2 linked regions of the Mytilus edulis genome follow. The protein of the gene in region 2 interacts with the protein of the main gene of each other region in a pairwise test. Links are inferred from orthologs where the notes say so. Each region holds a gene or a part of one and is shown on either strand. Other genes may lie near its edges. The genes, in order: short coiled-coil protein B-like and fasciculation and elongation protein zeta-2-like.

Region 1 (8,175 bases), on a different chromosome or scaffold from region 2:
AATAGAGTTTTACTGTTTATCATATTTCATGAAATGTTGTCATTTTAGCATCGCATAAGTGTAAGGTTTGGCTAGCCATTAAACCAGGTTCAACCCACTATTTTTCTTAAAATGTCCTGTACCAAGTCTGGAAGATGAAGGTTGTTATCAAATAGTCTGTTTCTATGTAATGTTGCCGTTTTTTTTTTTTAGAAGTTTGGTGTTTCTGTTGTTCTGTTTTTTTCTTCTTCTAATTGTTGATGTGTTTCCCTCAGTTTTTGTTTGTGACTCCATTTTGTTTCAGTTAAATTGATTTATAAATAATCAACAGTGGTATACTACTATTGCCTTTATTAAAATATTTTCTGATTCTATTGATAAAAGAGAATGTGAAGAATTCTTCTGAGACAGCAACCAAACAACACAGAATTCTGCCTATCAATCTGCACAAGTTTGCTATAATGGTTTAAAACCTTTTTATTTGGTAATAATTATTTCATTTTTTTTCAAAGCTGTTGTGCATATGCTCATCAAAGTTTCAACAAGATTGTGTCCATATAACATAGATGCCAAACACCCGCTATCATTTTCTATGTTCAATATCAATAGACCGTTAAATTGGGGTTAAAATTCTGATTTGGCATAAAATTAGAAATATCATATCACAGGGAACATGTGTTCTAAGTTTCAATTTGATAAGACTTCAACTTCATCAAACACTAACTCTAACAAATTGTCTAACCTGAAGCCAAACAGACAGATGTCAGACTGAATATCAAATGCACAGACCTAAAGTGGGGCATAAAATATTTTTTTACAGAAACATGGGCTAGTGCCTCCTGCAGGAACTTGTATCATAACATGTTGACATTAATGTTGTACTCTGATACACACCTGTGTCACTGTCACTTGACAATGGGACACTGTATAAATCTTCTTTCATGCCTTCCCCAGACATGATTAAAGTCTTGACAAATTCTACCACTAAAATAGTCAGTTGAGTATCCTGTAAATACACACAGAATTAATTTGTTAAGGTTGTACCTAACACTACAGGGAGATAACTCTGTAAAATCAGCTAAAGGTTTTAATTACGTTGTGTTGTAAAGGGAATATTAAGCTTCTCAACGATCAAAATAAATGTTTGTCAAACTGCTATATAACCAGTGTAATTTTTCTGACAAAACAGTTGGTTTGAAATTTTTATGTTTTTGTTGAAGGGTCAAAGTTAATACATTGTCAAAGTTTAATGAAAATTAAACGAGCCAAATTAATTTTAGGTACCACCTTAACACATTGAAATGTCGCAAAATGACATGTCAATAACTCTAGTCTACAATTAAAAAATGCTAGTGTTTAAATTTGTTCTCCTTGAAAATATGATGGGTCCATGAAATAAAGAGATGGGCAACTCTATTTTATGACCATACTTAAACTTTCTATTGAAATATAATATGACACCCTCCTCATTTTTCAAATCATTTGTTACATGTATATTTTGTACTAAAATATCTATTGTATTGCTTGACATGTTAAGTTTCAATTCATACCCAACCTTCTTCTATGAAATACATGTATTAAGGGCCACGATATCACAAGATTTGCTTATTTGTCAATCATGTGTATGATAAGTCTCTCACTTAAGGTGATACCTAACACTACAGGGAGATAACTTCGTAAAATCAGCTAAACGTTTTAATAACATTGTGTTGTTAAGGGAATATCTTCTCAATGATCAAAATAAGTGTTTGTCAAACTGCTATATAACCACTGTAATTTTTCTGATTAAATGGTTGGTTCAAATTTTTTGAATTTTTTATATTTTGGTCAAAGGGTCAAAGTAAATGCTTTGTCAAAATTTTATGAAAATTAAACGAGCCAAATTAGTTTTAGTTAAAAGTGTTGGGTACCACCTTAATACATCTTAATTTAAAGAACATGAAGCCATTTTATAGTTTTATGTTACCTTAGGAGTTTCAATGTTATTCGGAATGTTATAAATTAAGATCATGGTCAACAAAATAACATAAAAAACTTTTGTATGAATCATACTGTTAATTTTATTTGTTTGCAGGCACACAATGATTTAGGCTGTTCACACTTCTTTGGTCCGTTCGCCCTGATTCTAGCCCGTTCCTGTTTGCCCTAACTCCTGTTCGTCCTGAGTCCATACACGGTGATCTTGGGTTATATTGCATTGTGTGTATACATTTGAATATGTTTAAAACGTGTGTCTACAATTTCACCAAATATTTATTTATGATGTATTATGTTGTCTATCTTCTACCAGGAAATAAGTTTCTGTGAATTCCAGGACTACAAGATATTTAATATAAAAAAAAAAGACTAAGTTATCTGTATTTATTCATTTTTATTGATGCATTTTAACAATATAAAAACATTCATGCCTGTCCAAAGTTAGGAGCCTGTAATTCAGTGGTCGTTTAATTTGTTTATGTGTTACATTTCTGTTTTTTCAATCATTATTTGTACATAAATTAGTTATCTCAATTGAACTAACCTAGGGCGAACATGTAATCAGGGCAAGTTAACCTGATACCGGTTGGATCTACCAAATTACCAAGTGCTTGTCCCATGAATACATAATTTAAAAAATATTGTATGTGCTAAACATATGTCATATAGTAACAATTGTCTACTGTATATAATAAAACAGGTTAATGATGTGATAAATTATATAACTGATTAAGCAAATTTCAAAATGCAAATGTATATATGTCGTGAGTGTTCACTCAGTGCATCAATAACTGTTAGTGGGATGCTGAATAAATAATGTGATTTCTGAATCACATTATTCGTCAGGAAAATCGTTCTTCTAAATATAATATAATGCAGACACAAAAGGCTAAGTACAAAATATGTCTCCTGCATCTAATTGATAGTTAATTTCAGTGATACCTTAAGAAATTATATCAAATAAGTGAAATAACTGTTTGTTGATATTTCCAAAATCTACTTCCGTTTCTCCATTTTTTCAATAGTCACATGACAGTGACGTCACACAACAGGTACTCGTTCACACACGAATTCATTCAACCTGTCAACAGAAGAAAAAGTGCATGAAAAACAATATCTAAAACTTTTTAAAACATGTTGAATAACAAATTTGGATATTTTCTTCAAAAGTCGAAGTATAACAAATTGACATTTATTTAAAATGCAAAAATAAAGCATTGATGGAATAAACTTCGGAACAGGTGAGAGAAAAATAATCAATTTTTTAAAGAAACTTTCTAAAGTTGTGTATTTAAGTCATATTTGGTGTATGTTTCATGTCGTTATTTAATTAATAGACGTAATTATTACAATCATTAGGTATTTAATGAATTTACAGGTATATTCTGACACAGATTACCTGAAACATGTGCTTTTTATGGCCAGGTGAATTATTTCTGACAGTAGTTTATAATAATATATCTTCGCGCTGCCTTAGGCAAGATTCTCTCCTAACAACACCGATGTGTTAATTAACAATTTAATGGGCCATTGGTTGGTAATACTCAAAATAATAATACACATTACAGCTGATTTAGAGAGGGGACAGTTTTAATTGTTACCTAAATAAGTTGATTGGATTGGACGGTGTTAGATGTTTTCATAAGCCAAGAAAAATTGAAGCAGGCTTACTGAGTAACCATACTGGAAAAAAAAAGGTTAATAGATAAGAACATAAGTGGATATAGTACATGTTTTGGGATATCCTATTCAAACAAGGTAATTTGAGGTTAACTTTCTTGGAACAGGTACACTTTAACTTATTTTTTTAACTATACTCTTATATCCAGTTATCCATCAGATTTTTTATGATTTCTTGATGCTATCTTAGTTTGCAGAAATTATTATTATATAGTTATAAATGACTCTCTTATTGTACATGTGTTGCTACTATGTCATGTACTAAAAATGTAAGTGTATGATAAAGTTCTTAATATTGCACTTTGTGATTTTAAATAATTACAAATGTACATTTGTACCTTAAATAACCTGAATAGTCATGATGGATATTATTTTTTTATCATAATAATGAATGTAAAATACATATATATACAAACCATGCAAACAGAATTAAGATATATTTAGTGTCAAATAGTATACCTGAGACTACTATAATTAACACATGTGTTATAGTAGTCTCAGAGTATACCAAGGAGACAGCAACACCTTTGAAGTTTACATAAAAGTTTACTTGTAATTAAGACATTAATTAGGCTGGCCAATGATTTGTATAGCAATTGAGACGTACAATGCAAATCCTCCCCTTAGGCAGACCTGGATAAAATGAAATGAATGAATAGGAGATTTTAGAATGTCTTGGGAAATAATCTACATGTAATATTTATAACATCTGGTTTTTTGGGTCATTTTATATGTATATTATTCGAAAGGCTATATTTATTTTAATACACTGATTTTCATTTTGCAAACTTTTCAAAATCAGATTCTTTTCTATATTGTAGGAATTTTCTTTTTGGATTTTAAGTTGTAGCTGTATCTTTATGTAAGGCTTTGGAATATAGAGTATGTCATCTGTATGTCAAGGCTAACATATGATTGACAAAGTAAACTCCGACTATGCCATCACTATGTCGTGTTGTGATAATATACTGCAAAGGATTAACAATGAACTACCTGACGAGTGGGAGGCAAAGTTGGTGGCAGAGCAGGGACGCATTTATTATCTAAGGTAGGTGTTGGGCAGGTGATGTCCTAGAAAGACTTCCATTTGCCGCCCCCCCCCCCCCCCCCCCCCTCCCCCCTTTTCCCCTCTGGTTGATAGATTAAGCAAAATGCACATGTAAGGGGTTTCAATGGAAGTTTGCCAATGTCTTACTCACTAGGGTTGTGCCAATAGATTTTGTTACGGCATATAAACAGTAGCAGTTCTGCACTGGTATATTAGATGAAGCTACGCAATATACATGTAGCAATACATGTATGACTAGGTTATACAATTGTTTCAAACAGTATGAGTTGCATACCGTATCTGAATTTTTTAAAAATGGTAAATATAAAGATAAGGAGATGTGGAGTGATTGCTAAAGAGACAACTTTCCAATAGAAAACAAAAGACAAAGATGTTGACAACCATAAGTCACTGTCCAAACTTGTTATGTATAAAAACACACTGTAATGTATATAGAAAGCTTTAAAAGAGCCTGGCATGTCATGAGGACCACCATGACCACATTAGCAACAATTTTATAGAGAAATCCAACATTAATCCTTTTATAGTGGACTATGTGGTACAGGGATGGGGTAATCGTAATCTGTAATCGTAATCAATTGTAATTGATTACATACTAAAATTTGAGTAATCGATTATTCGATTGCACAAAAATCCTTCATGTAATCGATTATTCATGTAATCGATTATTAATCGATTACATTTGTCAGTAATCGTGCCCATCCCTGATGTGGTATGAGTTTTGCACATTGTTGAAGGCCATACTGTATCCTATAGTTGTTAACTTCTATTTCTTTGGTCTCTGGTAGACAAATGGTAGAAATATGTCTCATCATGCTCATTGGCAATCATACCACATCTCGTTATTTTTTATATAAATGTATATTATAAGTTTTTTGGTACATGTAAATGCAATTACAACACATGTAATCTAACTCCGTTAAAACGAAGGTGCAGGACCTAGGAATATTTGTGAACAATTTTTTGTTTTACTTCTCAGAATTGCTCTTTGATATTCTCAGTCATCCTTATGGCCTTCACTCAATCTTCAACAAAGACTTGTCAGGTTGAATTACTATTTTATCTTAAGATAAAAAGATTTTAAATGATATTGTTACAAAATTGCACTAGTCTTAGTCCAATGTGCACTTAAAATATTTTAGATGATGGCATTATAGTTTGTGGTTTCTATCTTTTTTAATCTCCCTAGGTATGGTTCATTCAGAAAATAAAATGTCAAAGAAAAGGAATGATGATTCAAATCTCGACAATGTTTAAAACTCCATCTTTTAATCTACAATGTTATGTTCCACTCGAAAATAAAAAGAAAAGAAAAAGATTAATCTGCTTGAAATCTTGTCAGTATTAAAAGGTTGTCTACGAATCTCTCCATTTACAAAGTCTCTGAGTCTGTTCCACTCCAAAAATAAAAAGAAAAGAAAAAGAATCTGCTTGAAATCTTGTCCGCATTAAAAGGTTTTCTACAAATCTCGCCATTTACCAAGTTTCTGAGTCTGTTCCACTCCAGAAATTAAAAGAAAGAAAAAGAATCTGTTTGAATTATCATCAGTATTAAAAACTTTGTCTTTTAATCTCCCTATTTTCAATGTCTGTTCCACTCCAAAAATAAAAGAAAAGAATTAAGGAATCTGTTTCAAATCTCAAAAGAATTTAAAAGTTGTGCTTGGTGTACTATACAATTCTATGTCTTAGAAATCAATAGTATAACATGGGAAAAGTTTATCTACATTTAAACACAGCTTTCCTCTTTCTTTCATGACACTAACACATTGAGAGAACAAATAACAAAAATTTCTAGATTAAACAGATAAAAACTTCATAAAAGGGGAAAAACATCTTTGATGAAGCGGACATCTATTGATTTGCAAATCATTTTCACTGAAAAATCCATTTATTAACGACATAATCAGATTATTGAAACCCTCTTTTATAATAGTATTGCAAGAATAAACAATACTGTTACGAACGGTCATTGGTTTCTGTTTGAATGACACAATTGTCCGATTCTCTTTGATTAGAGATTATATTTACGAAGACAATACTTAGAATCTTGTCCATTCATGTAACTTCATTTCCGATTCCAGAGTTGACAATTGATGGTGGTCTTTGATACAATTTTTATCGCCTAATGAAGTTGTTTAGGAACGAACTTGTCAATAACTTAATTCTGATTAAATTATAGATAAGTTTACAGAAAGATTGATCGAAACTGACATGACAAACGTCCATTTAATCGATTTTCATTGTTGATATATACTGACCATGTCATATGAAATTTACATTTAACATGGGTTTTTTTAGTTATTTATTCAATTGACACATATGGACTTACAGTGACCTATAGTCATGATAGTTGTTAATTTCTGTGTCATTTGGTCTCTTGTGGACAGTTGCTTCATTGGAAATCATACCACATCTTCTTTTTTATAATTTTTAAATAAAATCCTAATTCCAATTACATGAATTACATTATCTACTCATCATGCTCATTGTTAAAAGCCATTAGAATTTTTTTTTACAATTCTGACAAAACTTGAAAAATTTATTCATAATCAAAAGACAGTATAGTTTATAAGAAAATTATCGATAGATCATTTGATCACACTTAGCTGGATTTATGAAATTATGTAATAAATAATTGATTTTAAATTCAAAATATCCTGTAGGTCAAATGAATCAAACTTGAAACTTAAACATTCTTAAAATTATTCAAAAATTGTATGTTGCTATCAACATGATACATTTGGTTTATGTAACTTTTGATGAGTTTTATTTGATTGTAACTTATCTTCAATTTTTTTTTTAAAAGATAAACTGTTATACATTTCAGTTTTAGCATTAATGATGCTAAATACCAAGTTTTGGAGATAAGAGACTCATTCAAAAATACTGCTGTAGTTGCTTGCTTAAATTAAAGGTTGAGATTTTATTTTAATGAACATATTTGAATATATTTGCTAAAATAAGAGTTAAAAGGAGAGGCTAACAATACAAGAAGACAAAGACAGAATTTTAGTTAAATTGAAAAAAAACCTGACATGGATCTTAATTGATATAGAAACTATTAATTGATTGATTGATTGATTTATTTTTGATTGTTGAGATCTTGATATCCAGTGGCAAATATTTTATTAAAAAAAGGCAATATGATGCGATAACAATTTATTGAAAAAGAGTCTATATATAATAAAAGATGTTGCCAATGTTTTACATGTTAAGATGACTGTCCAAATACTCTATTTTGTATCCAAGTGATTTTAAAGTATCTACATTTGCTTATGAGTCATACTAGAGTGCAGTCTGCTAAAAAAAAACCAGATAAACAGTTTTAGGATGTTCAGATGATTAAAATATTATTGAAGTCTTTTAATTTTGATACATTTTTCATTCATGAATTATCATGTTTTATAGCACTTTGGTGTTATGGGTGTTTAAAATTAGAAATCTAAGAAGCGTGTCCCACAATGTAA
Region 2 (7,595 bases):
CAAATTGATAGATTATATATGTTAATAAATATTTTATACCTTGACATGTTTTATCAATAAGCCAGTCAATATAAGTTTCAGATTAAGGCATTTAAAGCTCGTTTTATTTATTTACCAAAAAAATCTCAAGTGGCATTTATATTATTTCAAATAACATATTATTTGTCACTTATGAGATAATTTCTGATATTTTGACAGAAAAAAAAGTATTGAAAAAAACAAATTCCAAGGCTTAATTTCTGATATATTGACAGAAAAAAAAGTATTGAAAAAAACAAATTCCAAGGCTATTTTAAAAAAAGGGAAACCCATTCAAACTGATAAAATCAAAGAATACTGAATTTTACCCGACCTGTGGATCCTGTTACTCTGTGGTTGCTGAGACAAGTCAAAGTTTATATAAAATAAGAATGATAACCAACGAGTCAACCACCAGAGAATAAAACATATAGACATAGCATTAAAATGTCACTGTATGGCATTCAAAAATGAATAATACTCATACAATATAATTGAAAAACTCACATGACAAAATGTTAAACTTTTCAAACTAAAAAAAAAGTTTCAACAAAATAAACGACCAAGGACCACAACTTAATTACATGCTCCTGACTAGGGACAGATGCATTCAAAATGCAACTAGATTAATATATAAATATATGATATTGCCAATAAGACAACTCGACACAAGAGACCAAATGACACAGAAATTAACTGCTATAGGTCACTGAAAACCCTTCAACAATAAGCAAATTCCATATTTGCAAATCTCTATTGTTCACTCACATGGGACAGTGGTGTGTAAAGGCACAACTTGAATGATCTTAATAATGACAAAATTTGTTAAATAGTGAGCTAGTTAAAAACCAGTTAAAACATAAATTAATCATGTTACATTGGTTTGAACCGTTAATTACATTGAAAACAACATTCTGGGTGCAATCGCACACAGTACATTACATGTTTCTTCTCATGAGAGTGCCAGATTGCTTTATACTGATATAATTTGAACAAATATTTAGCATGGGTGTAGAATTTTCATTATTTTATTGAAACAACAATTCTATGGTTATCAAATATCAAAGCGTTATCATTTATAAGCAGTCTCAAACTCAAAAAAGCAAAACTTAAGACATGCTATTTCCATTGTCGATGAAACAAAATTAGTTAATGATTAGGTCAGTTTAAAGAGAACCACTCAATTATACTCTTGTTATGCAGATGAATTGGCATTGTCACATCTCATTTCCATTGAGTTTATGTTGCTCCACCTGTCTATTATGGTATTGACAGAATGTTGCAAAGTTTATGATATGAATATTAACCAAGTTAATGTTAATATTTGGTATGCACTTGTCTTATCATTTGCAAGTCAACACTCCAATTAAGATTAAATGGCTCAAACTATATCATGTTAAAGCAACATGGTCACTATTTTTCAGAGACAAGACTTGGCAGACATAGGACTTCCTACAGTCTGTCTTTGTATGTGTCCAAGTAAAACTTTATAAATGACATCAATATCTCTGTCAAACCTTGATCATAAGACTTTTTGAATGCTCAAAAGACACTGTCCGGGGTAAATTTTGAAAATCATTTTTATACGACCGCAAAAATTTTAATTTTTTGGTCGTATATTGCTATCACGTTGGCGTCTGCGTTGTCGTCCGAATACTTTTAGTTTTCGCACTCTAACTTTAGTAAAAGTGAATAGAAATCAATGAAATTTTAACACAAGGTTTATGACCACAAAAGGAAGGTTGGGATTGATTTTGGGAGTTTTGGTCCCAACATTTTAGGAATTAGGGGCCAAAAAGGGCCCAAATAAGCATTTTCTTGGTTTTCACACTATAACTTTAGTTTAAGTGAATAGAAATCTATGAAATTTTGACACAAGGTTTATGACCACAAAAGGAAGGTTAGGATTGATTTTGGGAGTTTTGGTTCCAACAGTTTAGGAATTTAAAAGGGCCAAAAAAGGGCCCAAATAAGCATTATTCTTGGTTTTCGCACAATAACTTTAGTATTAGTAAATAGAAATCAATGAAATTTAAACACAAGGTTTATGACCATAAAAGGAAGGTTGGGTATGATTTTTGGAGTTTTGGTCCTAACAGGTTAGGAATAAGGAGCCCAAAGGGTCCAAAATTGAACTTTGTGTGATTTCATCAAAAATTGAATAATTGGGGTTCTTTGATATGCCGAATCTAACTATGTATGTAGATTCTTAATTTTTGGTCCAGTTTTCTAATTGGTCTACATTAAGGTCCAAAGGGTCCAAAATTAAACTTAGTTTGATTTTAACAAAAATTGAATCCTTGGGGTTCTTTGATATGCTGAATTTAAAAATGTACTTAGATTTTTAATTTAATATTGGCCTAGTTTTCAAGTTGGTCCAAATGGGGGTCCAAAATTAAACTTTGTTTGATTTCATCAAAAATTGAATAAATGGGTTCTTTGATATGCCAAATCTAACTGTATGTAGATTCTTAATTTTGGTCCAGTGTTCAAATTTGTCTACATTAAGGTCCAAAGGGTCCAAAATTAAACTAAGTTTGATTTTAACAAAAATTAAATTCTTGGGCTTATTTGATATGCTTTATCTAAATATGTACTTTGATTTTTGATTATGGGCCCAATTTTCAAGTTGGTCCAAATCAGGATTCCATATCAAGTATTGTGCAATAGCAAGAAATTTTCAATTGCACAGTATTGCACAATAGCAAGAAATTTAATTGCACAATATTGTGCAATAGCAATTAATTTTCAATTGGAGTTATCTTTCTTTGTATAGAATAGTAGTTGATAATATATGTTGGAAATTTGCCAGACATGACTATGATGTCATTTTCTATTTTTATTTGCCAATAACTTTATGTAAATAACTTCATTGGAAATTTGCCAATATAAAATGTTGCTGATGAAGCTTTTTTTCCTTATCTTATCTAAAATGTTTTTAGATAATGTATGTTGGACATTTGCCAGACATGACTATGATGTCATTTTCTATTTTTATTTGCCAATAACTTTATGTAAATAACTTCATTGGAAATTTGCCAATATAAAATGTTGCTGATGAAGTTTTTTTTATTGTTTTATACAATAAACAATGTATATTCACTTTTACTACCAACCAATCTTTACCATTCAGTGATAACAAGCACTTTATTTTACATTTTAATATTTTATGATGTATTTAAAAGAGTAGTTATTGTTGCAAACTCCATTAGAAATTTGAATTGATATCAGTTTTGGAAAAAGGAAAACGGTGATGTGAAAAAAAGGGGGGGGGGGGTTAAATTTTTCTCATTTCAGATTTCATAAATAAAAAGAAAATTTCTTCAAACATTTTTTGAGAGGATTAATATTCAACAGCATAGTGAATTGCTCATAGGCAAAAAAAATTAGTTAGTTCATTAGACCACATTCATTCTGTGTCAGAAACCTATGCTGTGTCAACTATTTAATTTTAGATTTAAAAAGTTTGAAGAAGAAATCTTTAATTGATTTGTAAAATCTTGACATTTGTTTTGTGTAAAAAAAAAACCATGTTATGTCAAAAATTTGATCACAATCCAAATTCAGAGCTGTATCACGCTTGAATGTTTTGTCCATACTTGCCCCAACTGTTCAGGGTTCGACCTCTGCGGTCGTATAAAGCTGCGCCCTGCGGAGCACTTGGTTGTTAATTTTTTCCCTATTTTACTGTTAAATTGACTCAGCTTTTTCACAGTTTAATAACAGTAAGTTGCATGAAATGGTTAATTTTTTTCAAGACACTTCTTTTTTTCAAGCCTTTATGGAAAGAAAATTGGACTGTCTTGAAAGACTTTCGTTGTCAAAAGATATTGTATCATGTCCAGCCTAAAATTTGAATGAATTTTTTCTCTTCTATTTTCTGAAAAATAGATCAAATCTTTTAGCAGTTAACTTTTGTTTAACATTTTGGGTTAAAGTTTTTTTTTCTCAATATAGTGTGGACACAGATAAGTTTGGATAGTAATTAATTTATAATGTTTGTATACAATTAAAATAAGATGTGGTTTGATAGCCGATAAAACGACTCTCCAATAATCTACAAAAAATATTTGGCACTCACCGTAGACTCTCAAACTATATATCAGCTCAATATGAGAAGGAGTTTAGGAAACTAGTCTGTTCATTGCATAATATGACACGAGGGTTTAACAATATGACCCCAACTGCTAAGATGGTCTGCCACGAAAACTGGTCGTCAAGATATAGTCTGCATGGTTAATAGTGAATGAATTGGTGATAAAATAAACAATCCCTCCCACATTATTATAATTGGAATTCGAGAATCTGAAAATTAGATAAGCCAGTCAATGTTTTGAAACATATGATTTTTATTTGACGAGACCCCTTTTTGTGTCGATTGACCAAGTGATGTTGGCAAAATATAAACGTCAAAACATTCTTTGCACATCTTATGATTACTGAGGAAATATTTGTATTACATTATATCAGAGACCTTTATGTCTCTGTTTATATTGTAGACAAAATCAAGATAAAATATTTGTGAAAGGAGCCACTTGTTTTGTCTTTCTATGGCCGTGTCTATTAATAAATTGTGAAAATTTATTTTACATTTCAGCTTCAGCACAGGCACCTTTCTCTCGAAAATAATTTTCCTTTATAGCTTAAGAGATCCAAATAGTACCGTGCACATGATTTTTTCAGACAAGTGCCTGTGTTGAGTTGTCTTTCTTCTAATGAAATGAACACTTCAGTCTAAATAAAAAAATTATCTAAAAGGTGAAGGTCAGAGATGTCAGGATGCGGGGAATGAAAATGGCGGAGCTACATTTCGAGGCTCCACTTGCAAAATTTGAGAATGAGGAACTTGCAGAGTATAGTGATTTTCAAGGTGTAAGTGAAACAAGTAGCCTTTTAAACACGGACATGTCAACTGCTCATGAAGAAAGTGAACATTCTGAAAACTTCGCGGAAACGGTGTCTGAATCATTGGAAGATTTGGTGAATACATTTGATGAAAAAATCACAAAATGTTTCTGCAATTTCGAGGACAAAGTAGATCATATAGCTCCAGTTCAAGTTAGAACACAAGAGGAGGTAGTTAAAGATTGCCAGTAAGTATTTGCTACTAACAGATCAAGAGTTTATGTGTCATGATCAAAACAAAAAAAGACAACCTCATCAGACAACAGTTTGGGTGCTGTGGAACATTGACATTGTCATAAAATATAATAGGGACTATAATAGTTATGATTACACAGCTTCAGGTTGGACAATAGCCCTGAACAGCCCAAATAATGCATAGGACATTTTAGAATATTTATATGAGATGTTCATGAGGTTGGGAACAAATCCTCTACATGGTTATCCATCTATAGAAGGATTATTCCTCTATACAAGACTAATCACCATATACAAATGTAAAGGGTTCGTTCGCAACCTGTTCATTTTCAACCTGCTAAAAATAATGATTTATGAATTTTAAAAGTCAAAACAGATCATGAATATGATACTAGATTATGTATGTACTAATAGATTCCTTCATTATTCTGAGCAACCCTCAAGGGTACAGTGGAATTTGTGTAGAGGAGATACATGTGTCACTTACATATTTTCAACGATATTTACAAGGACAAATTATCCTGGCCCAATGCCTACTCACAGGTAGTGATGGGACATCGGAAAGTCTTTTATTGGCGGAGGCCAAAGTACTTGAACAAAGTGACTGCAGGAACAGACGAACTGAAGAGATATCAGTCGATTGATCTTCAGGTCAAAGTTAAGGGCAGCTTTGACCAACAGTGGCCCCCAGAGTACCCATTTTAGTTTAAACACCAGTCTGGGTCCCAAGGACCACAAACCCACACTAGATTACCCCCTCTAAAATGTTATTTGGTTTGTTTGTCAATATGATTTAGGTAGATGGGCAATCTTATTTTATTTTAGATACATATACTGACATTTCTGGTATTTAGGTTTTTATTCCTTATGGTGCCTGTATTTATCAGGTATTTAATTTTCATTGAACTGGTTCACATTTTTATTCAGGGGCCAGTTGAAGGCCTCCTCTGGGTGCGGGATTTTCTCATGGTGTTGACGATCCATCTGTGACCTTCCTCTGTTATCTGCTATTTTGTTGGGATGTTGTCTCTTTGACATATTCCATAGATCCATACTTAATTTTATTTATTTGATAAATATATAAGAAATTAAATATACATGTATAAATATTAGAATTTGCTAAAAAAAATACAAAAAAACAACAACATGGAAATAGATTAAGTTTAATTGCTTGTTTTATTGGCTTCATTGTTACATTTTTTAAATTTAGAATTTGTTTAAGTTACAGTTGATTGTAATTTAGAATAAGAAAACTGGAATGATGATTATAAATAGATGCATTTGATCTCACTTTTTGCATTATCAATTGTCTTTACATTGTAGTGGTTTTATAAATAAAATAACAATTTTTAAAAGTAAACTACTTCATTGTGTAATGTTGAAGGCAATACAGTGGACTATTCATTTTGTGTTGGCTACTATCAGTATCACATTTTAAATCAGCTGGTGGATCTACTTGTCTCATTGGCTATTATATAAAATGCTCTATTAAATGATATATTTTACTACTATAACAAAACAAAATAAGAATCAGGGTGAATTTTTTTTTTTAGTTTGTATCTTTTTGTTAAAATGTTCTTAACTGTACATGTAAATTGTGTTTATATACAAGTCAGTATTTAGTATACATTTTGAAGTTTCCCATATTTTTTATGGTGTATGCAAACATGGCTATCCAAAGTAAAAGACATACTGTCTACCTTCAGTTTTGTTTGCCTGGTTTTATGCAAAGGTATTCATATAAAATTACTCTCTAAGACAGAATTTACAGAGTTCCAGAAAAAAAATTCACATGTCAGTTACATGTATTTGTAACTCTATAATCAGGTGTTATCTTGGAAATTTGTTATGATTGACACTCGTTATATGCTAGAATGGGAGTATATCAAAGAGACATCAACCTGTCAGACTAGAAAGCAAATAATAGGGACCAATGTGTCTTCAATTGGCTTCAGCTAGTCACTAAACAATAATGTACATATAAACTGTTTCAGTGAAATGGACCCAATACTGAAGTTCAAAACATACAAATGAACCAAAATTAAAAAAAAGCACAAGACTAACAGAGGCTAGAAGTTCCTGACTTGAGAGCTTGGGGCAAAAATGTGGGTTTTAGTATTTCAGCACAAACATGGTTATAGTATGTACAGGTAAACATGATAATTTCATAATTTTGCAGTTTTAAACTATTGTGTAAAAATCATTACTTAAAAACAATATATAAGTCAAGCAGATGCAATATGATGTTTTTATTAAAACTACAGTCATTTTTATAAATTTTCTGTTTACAAAACTTTGAATTTTTTGAAAAACTAAGGATTTTCTTACCCCAGGAGTAGATTAACTTAGCCGTATTTGGCACAACTTTTTGGAATTTTGGGTCCTCAATGCTCTTCAACTTTGTATTTATTTGGCTTTTTGAACTATTTTGATCTGAGCGTCACTGATGAGTCTTATGTAGACAAAACGCGCGTCTG

The links.
Region 1: the proteins of fasciculation and elongation protein zeta-2-like (region 2) and short coiled-coil protein B-like interact in a two-hybrid assay, tested with the Caenorhabditis elegans proteins (2 studies listed by BioGRID). The link is inferred for Mytilus edulis from reciprocal best matches to the Caenorhabditis elegans genes unc-76 and unc-69.

Annotation. Positions count from the first base shown.
Region 1 is NC_092351.1:56,891,466-56,899,640, reverse strand, and holds the start of short coiled-coil protein B-like, read right to left. Parts: upstream 3,014-8,175; 5' UTR 2,899-3,013; intron 986-2,898; 5' UTR 938-985; coding exon 874-937; intron 1-873. Other genes in the region: uro-adherence factor A-like, read left to right, coding at 4,548-4,684.
Region 2 is NC_092346.1:56,389,747-56,397,341, forward strand, and holds the start of fasciculation and elongation protein zeta-2-like, read left to right. Parts: upstream 1-4,574; 5' UTR 4,575-4,797; coding exon 4,798-5,111; intron 5,112-7,595.